Nothobranchius furzeri: one gene and its partner. The protein of the gene in region 2 purifies or fractionates together with the protein of the main gene of each other region. This does not show direct contact. Links are inferred from orthologs where the notes say so. Each region holds a gene or a part of one and is shown on either strand. Other genes may lie near its edges. The genes, in order: sytl4 and rab27b.

The links.
Region 1: the proteins of rab27b (region 2) and sytl4 purify together in Homo sapiens (co-immunoprecipitation; 3 studies listed by BioGRID and IntAct, counting the BioPlex papers as one, with this or other methods). This does not show direct contact. The link is inferred for Nothobranchius furzeri from reciprocal best matches to the Homo sapiens genes RAB27B and SYTL4.

What each region holds. Positions count from the first base shown.
Region 1 is NC_091741.1:84,928,852-84,932,674, reverse strand, and holds part of sytl4 (synaptotagmin-like protein 4), read right to left. Parts: intron 568-3,823; coding exon 458-567; intron 304-457; coding exon 192-303; intron 95-191; coding exon 1-94. UniProt on the Homo sapiens protein: Modulates exocytosis of dense-core granules and secretion of hormones in the pancreas and the pituitary. Interacts with vesicles containing negatively charged phospholipids in a Ca(2+)-independent manner.
Region 2 is NC_091746.1:72,347,878-72,351,700, reverse strand, and holds part of rab27b (ras-related protein Rab-27B), read right to left. Parts: intron 2,698-3,823; coding exon 2,609-2,697; intron 1,077-2,608; coding exon 973-1,076; intron 767-972; coding exon 643-766; intron 1-642. UniProt on the Homo sapiens protein: Small GTPase which cycles between active GTP-bound and inactive GDP-bound states. In its active state, binds to a variety of effector proteins to regulate homeostasis of late endocytic pathway, including endosomal positioning, maturation and secretion.

The DNA of each region.
Region 1 (3,823 bases), on a different chromosome or scaffold from region 2:
TTCCGTGTCACTGTGCGTTGGCTTTGAAGACACGTTGGTCTTTGACTCAAATGACTCTCTTGAAGCAATGGATCCCAAATTCTCTTTTGACTGACTGTCAAAAAAATAATAAAACATGAGCCAAAAGGTCAAGCTCATTCAAATATCATTTCAAAGAACATTTGTGTTCCAAAGACTGAAAAGACCAGTACCTTATGGTAGCCGTCTGAACTTTCTGCCTGGGCAGGGGCACTGGTTTAAAAGGATTTGTGTTATTTTCAACACTCCTCAGGAGTGTTTCTCCAATTGTCTCGCGCTTTTTTGCTATAATATTGTACATAAAGAAAAAAAAACCAAAAGATTAAGTAAAAGACACAATCAATAATGTTAAACTAAAACACTGCTGCTGTAGCTATGGGTGGGGAAAGCATTGTTTACAATCCAACAGCTGATATTAACTTCCTGTTCCTGAACTTACCTGGAGGCCGCTTTTTCAGGGAGGCCCTCACTAGGTTGTGCCCAGGAGCTCCAGAGAAACGGTTGATTCGTTGATCATAGAACCAATCGCCTGTCCTTTTCTTTATATCCCTGGAATGTACACAGATCAGTTAAGGAGTGTGATAAATTGATACTCCACATAATCATTACATCACTGATGCAGTAGATTATAATATTGCTTACAATAGAATTATTATTACTAAAGAAAAGTACAAAGCTGTGTCACTAAAGGTCAAAGGATTGTTTATACAAGTCTCATTTACTTTATTAGAATAAACAGCAATGAAACCTAATTGTCATAACATTTATGTCTTTTTACCAGGGATGCACTGATGTAAAAACGTAGACAGATATCCGATATCAAAATCACTGTTATATTAGATAACCAATATTTACTGATTTTACATTACATTACAAGAAAGCATTTAAGAAAAAAAACGATACATTGAAATACTGCAATATTTTGTGTTCAGCTACTGAATCGATATATAAAAGCAGTGAATGGATTTTTTTTATTGAGGATTTGCATACAAACATTTATTTTATTTATTTTGCAGTTCAAAGTCTGACCTCTGGGTGGCAGCAGTTTATACCACCTTCAATAAATCTACTTTCTCTAGTATGAATAAAAACCTCATGAGTCACTCAGTGGATAAAAGCTCTGGCACTTCTGTTTCAGAAAGTAGAAACTAACCGGAGGTGTGGGGGGCAGAAAACGACAGATTTGGAGTGTTACTCATTAATATTCATGTAGAAAATCTCTCCTCTGATTGGCTAATAGTGAAGCAACTCTTCTGCTGCCTCCGCTCACTCTTTTTGGATTAAAAAAGTTGATGTTTTTCCCCATTAACAACACATGTAGAGCCATTTATTTTGTGGGTTGGGCTTTCGTCTGTGGTGGTGGTGGTGTCGGGTGCGTCACATGTGATTTAAGTGGGTCCTCAGGTGTTTCGGATGAGCCGATTACGCATGGGTGGTGGGATCCATGGCACAATACATTTCTTTTTTGTGACGATCAACTGGGAGCACTACTATCCTTGGAACAGCATCATGTAAAACGCCAGCTAATGCTTGTAAAAGAAAATAACCAAGACTAACGCACAGACAAAAAGAGGTTTGATTTATGAATAGAAGCGCGTCAGAAGCCGCCTCCGCCCTCACCCAGCTGGCTGACAACAGGAAGTGTCAGCACAACACAAGTCTGAATGAGATCTGCTGTGTTGTGGAGTTGCTAATGCTAATGGTTAGCTTCTACTAGTCGATACTTGTTCTGCTCTCTCCTAGCTGCAAAACTTGACAGCCTTCCACAGCCGCAAGCCAAGGTGAGCAAGTCCATGAACACTAATTTGAGTGTGACGTAGATCTATGCAGCTTTTTCTGACCTGACAATTTCGCACTCAATTTTTATTTTGGTAGCTAATGCAGAAACTGGGGTGGAAGTATTATGGGCTCGACACACAGGAGGCGACATTGCCTCTCCATTCATTTTCAGTGAGACATGCACGACATGGCTCCCTGGAGGGCTAAGCGCAACCAGCCATTCCTCCCCATCCCCGCATATTTTTCTCCTCCTGCTCCCTCACATCATCACACAAACATGCACACAGGACCTTTGGGGGTGGACAAGTCAGGGAGTGCAGGTATGGACCCCATTTCTGCATTCCTGTGGCAACCTGCCCCCCAATTTTATTTGCACCTTAAACACTTCCACCAACGACATTCCACGCAAACACACACTAAAGCCTGGTTTATGCTTCTCCGTCAGCTGCGCAAGGGACAGACACGCATGGATTGACTGAAGCGTTTTGCTCTTTTACTTCTCAGTCTCCTGGAGAGTGTTGCAAAGCAATTGCCCGGCAGGACAACAGAGGGCATAGCGCTGTTCTGTGGTATCCTGCCATGTATTGGTCTATGATCGTGTGTTTATATTGTGTTTTTTGTGTATATAAGAGACTTTTAACACAGACATATTTGTCTCTCATTCTCCCACCTCTTCATGCGCTCCCCACCTCTAAACCCACGTTTCCTGTCATTTCCGTCCACAAATAAAACGCTTGCTGCGCATCCTTTCCAGTCTCCAGTCACGGGAGAATGAAACGTTCATATTTTTAGAGTTTTTTCGCGAGGTCTTCTTCAAGCTTCTCCGTGTCTGCCGCTAGTTATCCTCGGCTCTCTTTGCAATGGCGGCGCTGTAAACAACAGCGGCGTCCTGACCAATCACAAGCTTGCGTAATCCGTCTCGTTCGACAGATGTTTAAAAAAGTGGGCTCGACTCCGTACGTACTTGCATGCCTGCCGGAGCCCTACGCAAGGACGGATAATGGCGTTACGTGTCTCCGCACTGATGCAAACGGAGAAGCATAAATCAGGCTTTAAGGCCATGGGAGTGAGCACATTCAACGGCATTTGGCAGGGGGATTTTTCAGCCTCATCCAGAGGGCCGGTGCCCACTTCCAATTTTAAACTGCACTTAGACACTGAGGGCTGTGGGTGCAAGTGGGATGGTGTGGTGGCATCAGCTGGCATAGGCCAGACAACGCCCGCACTGCCCGCTCACCACAGCCATGGAATACACCTCATTAACACACAACACTATATTGGAGCAGGCGGAGGGAGACTAGGGGTCTTAGCACACCTCTTGTTGCTTGGCTTTCTGGGGCTGGAGGCTAGGAGGGAGATCTGGCCGTCTGGTTGGGGTCTGGGGTGGTGGGTTGCTGTGCTCAGCGTTGGGCGGGGGAGCCTGCTCATCAGCACCCCAGCAGAAAGGGTCGAACTCAGGGAACCGGTAATGGTTGTACCCCATGTGCAGCAGTACCGGGACCAGAGTGAATAGGGTGTGTATGGGGAGCATGAGTGGGTGTCCGGCGTGCATTTTTGTAAGTCTTTGGTTGTATGTGCATGTGTGAGCATGAGGGAGGGAGTGTGTGACTGTGTTTGTGTATGACTGTATATGTCAGGTGGGGCCTTTGACTCCTCCCTTCTCCTGGGACTTCTTTTGATGATATAGATCTTCGTCTCCCCTCCCCCTGCCACACCTGGTGTGAGGGGCTGTGCCTTGGTCTGCCTGAGTGTTTGTGGCAACCGGGTCAGGGGGTTTAAGATTTTGGCATCTGCCTGATCAATCCCGGTGGCTGTCTGGTGGGGTCTGGGCCCCTGGGCTCTGCTGGGTCCCAGGCGGGGGTGGTCACCCCTGGGTCCCGGGTTGTTGGGTCCCGGGCTCGGCCGGCTAGGGGGTGGGAGGCTGCGGGCGGGCCTGTGGGCTTGCCGCTGATATCTCCTGGGACTCTGCCAGCTGCTGGTTGTGGCCCCCCGGGGCGATCCTCTGTGCCTCTCGAGGGGGGCGGGG
Region 2 (3,823 bases):
TTTAATCAGCTAACCCCTATTGACTATTAGATCATCGCTAACTGCCAACAGCTATTAGCTCAAAAACATCTATTCATACTGTTTTTCTATCGTTTTTATGTCTATTTTGGATTTTGATTTTTATCTAGAAAGAGCCATCTTTAGCAGCTATCTTTTTCTAACAGCTATCAGTGGTAAAGGTTTAATATTTAATCAAAAGTTTTTGGTGTCTAAACGTTCAACCAGTGAACCCGCGTTAGAATAAAGTTATAAAACCAGTTTGAGGATCTAACTGGGACGAGTAGATTTGTGTGATGGAATGAGAGACTGTCAACTCATGACATCATCAGGATTATAATCACATTTGTCAGCATAACAACAACAACTCAGCTGGAGATGGAGGAATTTATAAAGGGGTGGAACAGTGGAAATCAATTTTTTATTGATTATTTCTGATTCTAACGGGTCACTCTGGGTTGTTTCATGCAGGCTGAACATGAAAATAGTCTCCTACACCTATCTGCTGCATTAGCTCCTGATAGAAAACAGACAGGATTAGATGAGCGGATCACACTGTCACCAACATTCATGGACTCACCCATGAATTAAATGACTGTTCCACATCTTTAAGCTGGAAATAAAACAAAAGGATTTTAAAGTCACCCATATTTATCAGCCAGCTCCTTGGCCTGTTTCTCCTGAACCTCCCGCTGATCAGCCAGGTCCGCCTTGTTCCCCACCAGAACAATATCCGGGTTCTCACAGTAGGCGTTGGCCTGAAGCTGACCTGAACATTAAGAAATGGTTCGTAAATAAACAAAACAGAGATATAATGAAACACTTAAATATGCATAGGATTAAAACCCACCACGCTTCATGTAAATGATCCTTTAAACAATCGTAGTTTTGTTTTTATGTAAATTGATGATAAATACTGAAAGACTTTGAGAAATGAAACAACTTTTCTGATGGAAACAGAGCAGGAGGACATACTCATCCAGTTTCTGACATTTAGAAAACTCTGCTGGCTGGTGAGATCGAACATCAGGAGGAAACCCATGGCATCCCTGAAGAACGCCGTAGTCAGGCTGCGAAACCTGACAGAAAAAAACAATTTAAGAACATGTGAGGGTTCATTTAAATCCTTTCTTATAAACCATAAAAGGCACCATTTTGACAGCAAGTCAGATCTGAGGACGTAAACAGCTGCTGCTAGATGTTACTTCCCGTAGAAAAATGAAACTTAAGATTCTTCTGTATTTTTTAAGAAACTCCTGAAGACCTGCTCTTCGGAGAGCATCTTCTAAACCAGGACCCTCCCTGCACCCGTCCCCCCTCTCTACTGTCCACTCCTTGTTCCCCTCCCTTTAGGATGGATTATGCTGCCTCACCTAGGACTGACTAGTGTTTGTTGTTAGCCTCAAGGACAACCTGCTGGCTTCATTATCACCTGTAAGTTGCTTTGGACAAACGCATCTGCTAAATACATAAACATAATTCTATAGAATTCATTCCTCTATAATTATAACCCTAACCCTAACCCTAGAAAACACTTTAAAACATGTCCATCTTACTCATGTGCCTCTCGTCCAAAACTGGTGTCAATCTTCAAAAAGAGGATTGGTGCTCATCAAATTTCTGTTATTAAATAACTAAATAATTCCTCTTAAAGAGCAAGTCACCCCCAAACCAACTTTTTTGCTGATAAACTATATAAATGTGTGTCTAATTGTGCTGCAGACACGTGAAGTCAATAGTTTGGCACTTCGATGCATCGTAGTTAAAATTTAAATATTCTGCCTAAAACTGCCAGTGTTGTGCCGTTGTCAGGTAAAAACTTTGCACTGTATTTGAATTTAAATCTGCCATCGCTATTGGCTAAGAGGTACCCTAGAACATTAGCTGGTACCATATGATGTCACAATGTTGTTGTGAGACTGTGTGTGTATGTATTTGTTAGCGGCTCCGCCCTCTCGGTCTGCTAGGCAACAGCATTTGTTGCATTTTTCAAACAGGAAGTGGGAGTGGAGAAAGATTCTGGTAGGGGGTGACTTGCTCTTTAAATAACCAAAGAATTCCATATAAATTAATAAAAATGCATCATAGTGAATAACCTGTAGCATTAAACTGACAGTTGTGTGTAAAATAACATCACAAAAACTTCTGGGAACTTGAGTAAATTGGAGTTAATTCAGGACGGCATAAACACCCAATGGTCTTCACCAAAACTAGCCGTTAGCTCATCACTCCTGATGAACATAAAGAGGAAACAGAGGCTGCTCAGGAAGATACTTAAATGTGACAAATAAACAAAACAATTGTGAATAATGTTGTTTCTGATCAAAACTAAGATAGGTAGGGGGTGACTTGCTCTTTAATTATTCGATAAACCTGCCGGAGTCTGCAAAATTGGTGGATGAGTGACGATAAACCAGTTATTTACATGAAACTCTGTTTACGAGCAAATGAATGAAACATGGCAGAATAAAAGTTTCTTAAAGAATGTCATTTAAACTCTTGAGAAGCAGACTGAAGCTGATTTAAGATGACTAGCTGTTAGCACGTCATTCCTGTAAACCCTACTTCTCCAAACAGAGGCTGTTCGGGAAGCTATCCGAGAAGGGCTCACCGTTCCTGTCCAGCCGTATCCCAGAGCTGGAGGTGAACCTTGAAGGTTTTTCCTGTTGCCGTTCCGTTTGGATTCGATGCCGTGTAAACCTAAAGAGGAGCAAATAAAAATATTAGAGCCGATCCCCGAGATTGACGGTGAACTGAAGCTCTTCCACCATCTCTGGTTCGTCTCCGCGGTGAAAAAAACATAAAGAGTGTCTCTTAATCCTCAGAAAGCCGCCAGCACAACCGAAAACTCGACGAAGATTGATGCGAGACAGAAATGGAAGTTCTCTGCGTTGGATCGCGTTACTGTCAGAGAAGGTTGTGTCTCCTGCTCAGACAGGAAAGGTCAGATCGCTGCTAAACCTATTTCCTTCACAAATACGTCAGATGTGGCATTCTCATTCCGTGACGTTGGAAATCCTTTTGTTTACTTTAGCGCTCTGTCTCTTTTTCCTGGATGCAAAGACATTTTATGTAGTTAGGCTTAACGACGTCTCAGAAACCGTCAAAGGCTCGATGTTTAGCTGCATTAATAAAACCGACCCTCCGGTCAGACGGTGGGATCAGATCCTGGAATCTAACCCGGAGAAGGAATCAGGAGGTAGATCTCCGTCTGAGGTCTATGAAGAAGCTTCGGGCGGCTTTCACACCTCTGACTCTTCATCACACTTCATCATCTGGTTTGGTTCCTCAGTGCATCCATCCATCATCCATCAGCCCACCCATCCACCCACCTGCCTACAGTTTTAGGTCTAGGTAATTGGTTCTCAATCCTGATCCTGGACGGCTGGTCTCCAGCACGTTTTAGTGGTTTCTCTGCTCCAGCACACAAGATTCAGTGGTTGAATCACCTGCAGAAGCTCACCAGGCTCTGCAGAAGCTTGTTAATCACCTGCTGATTGAAATCAGGTGTGTTGAAGCAGAGTTAAAACTAAAACATGCTGGACACCGGCCCTCTAGGACCAGGATTAAGAACCACGGGTCTAGGAGGTCGTGGAGGATCCCAAGGTGTTCCCTCATCTCTGATGTCACGTGGCCCTTGGGAGGCCGAGGCTGAGCAGGCTGCTAGGGTGAAGGATCGTTCAACAGCTTGGATCCAGGATCTGGTTCTGTGGGTTCTGATCAAGACGTCACTGCAGATGAAGCCCGGACCTGCGTCTCACCTTCATCTCCATCTCACCATCAACCAGGAAAAAAACACCAAGATTTCAGAGCTCGTCCCCGTAGG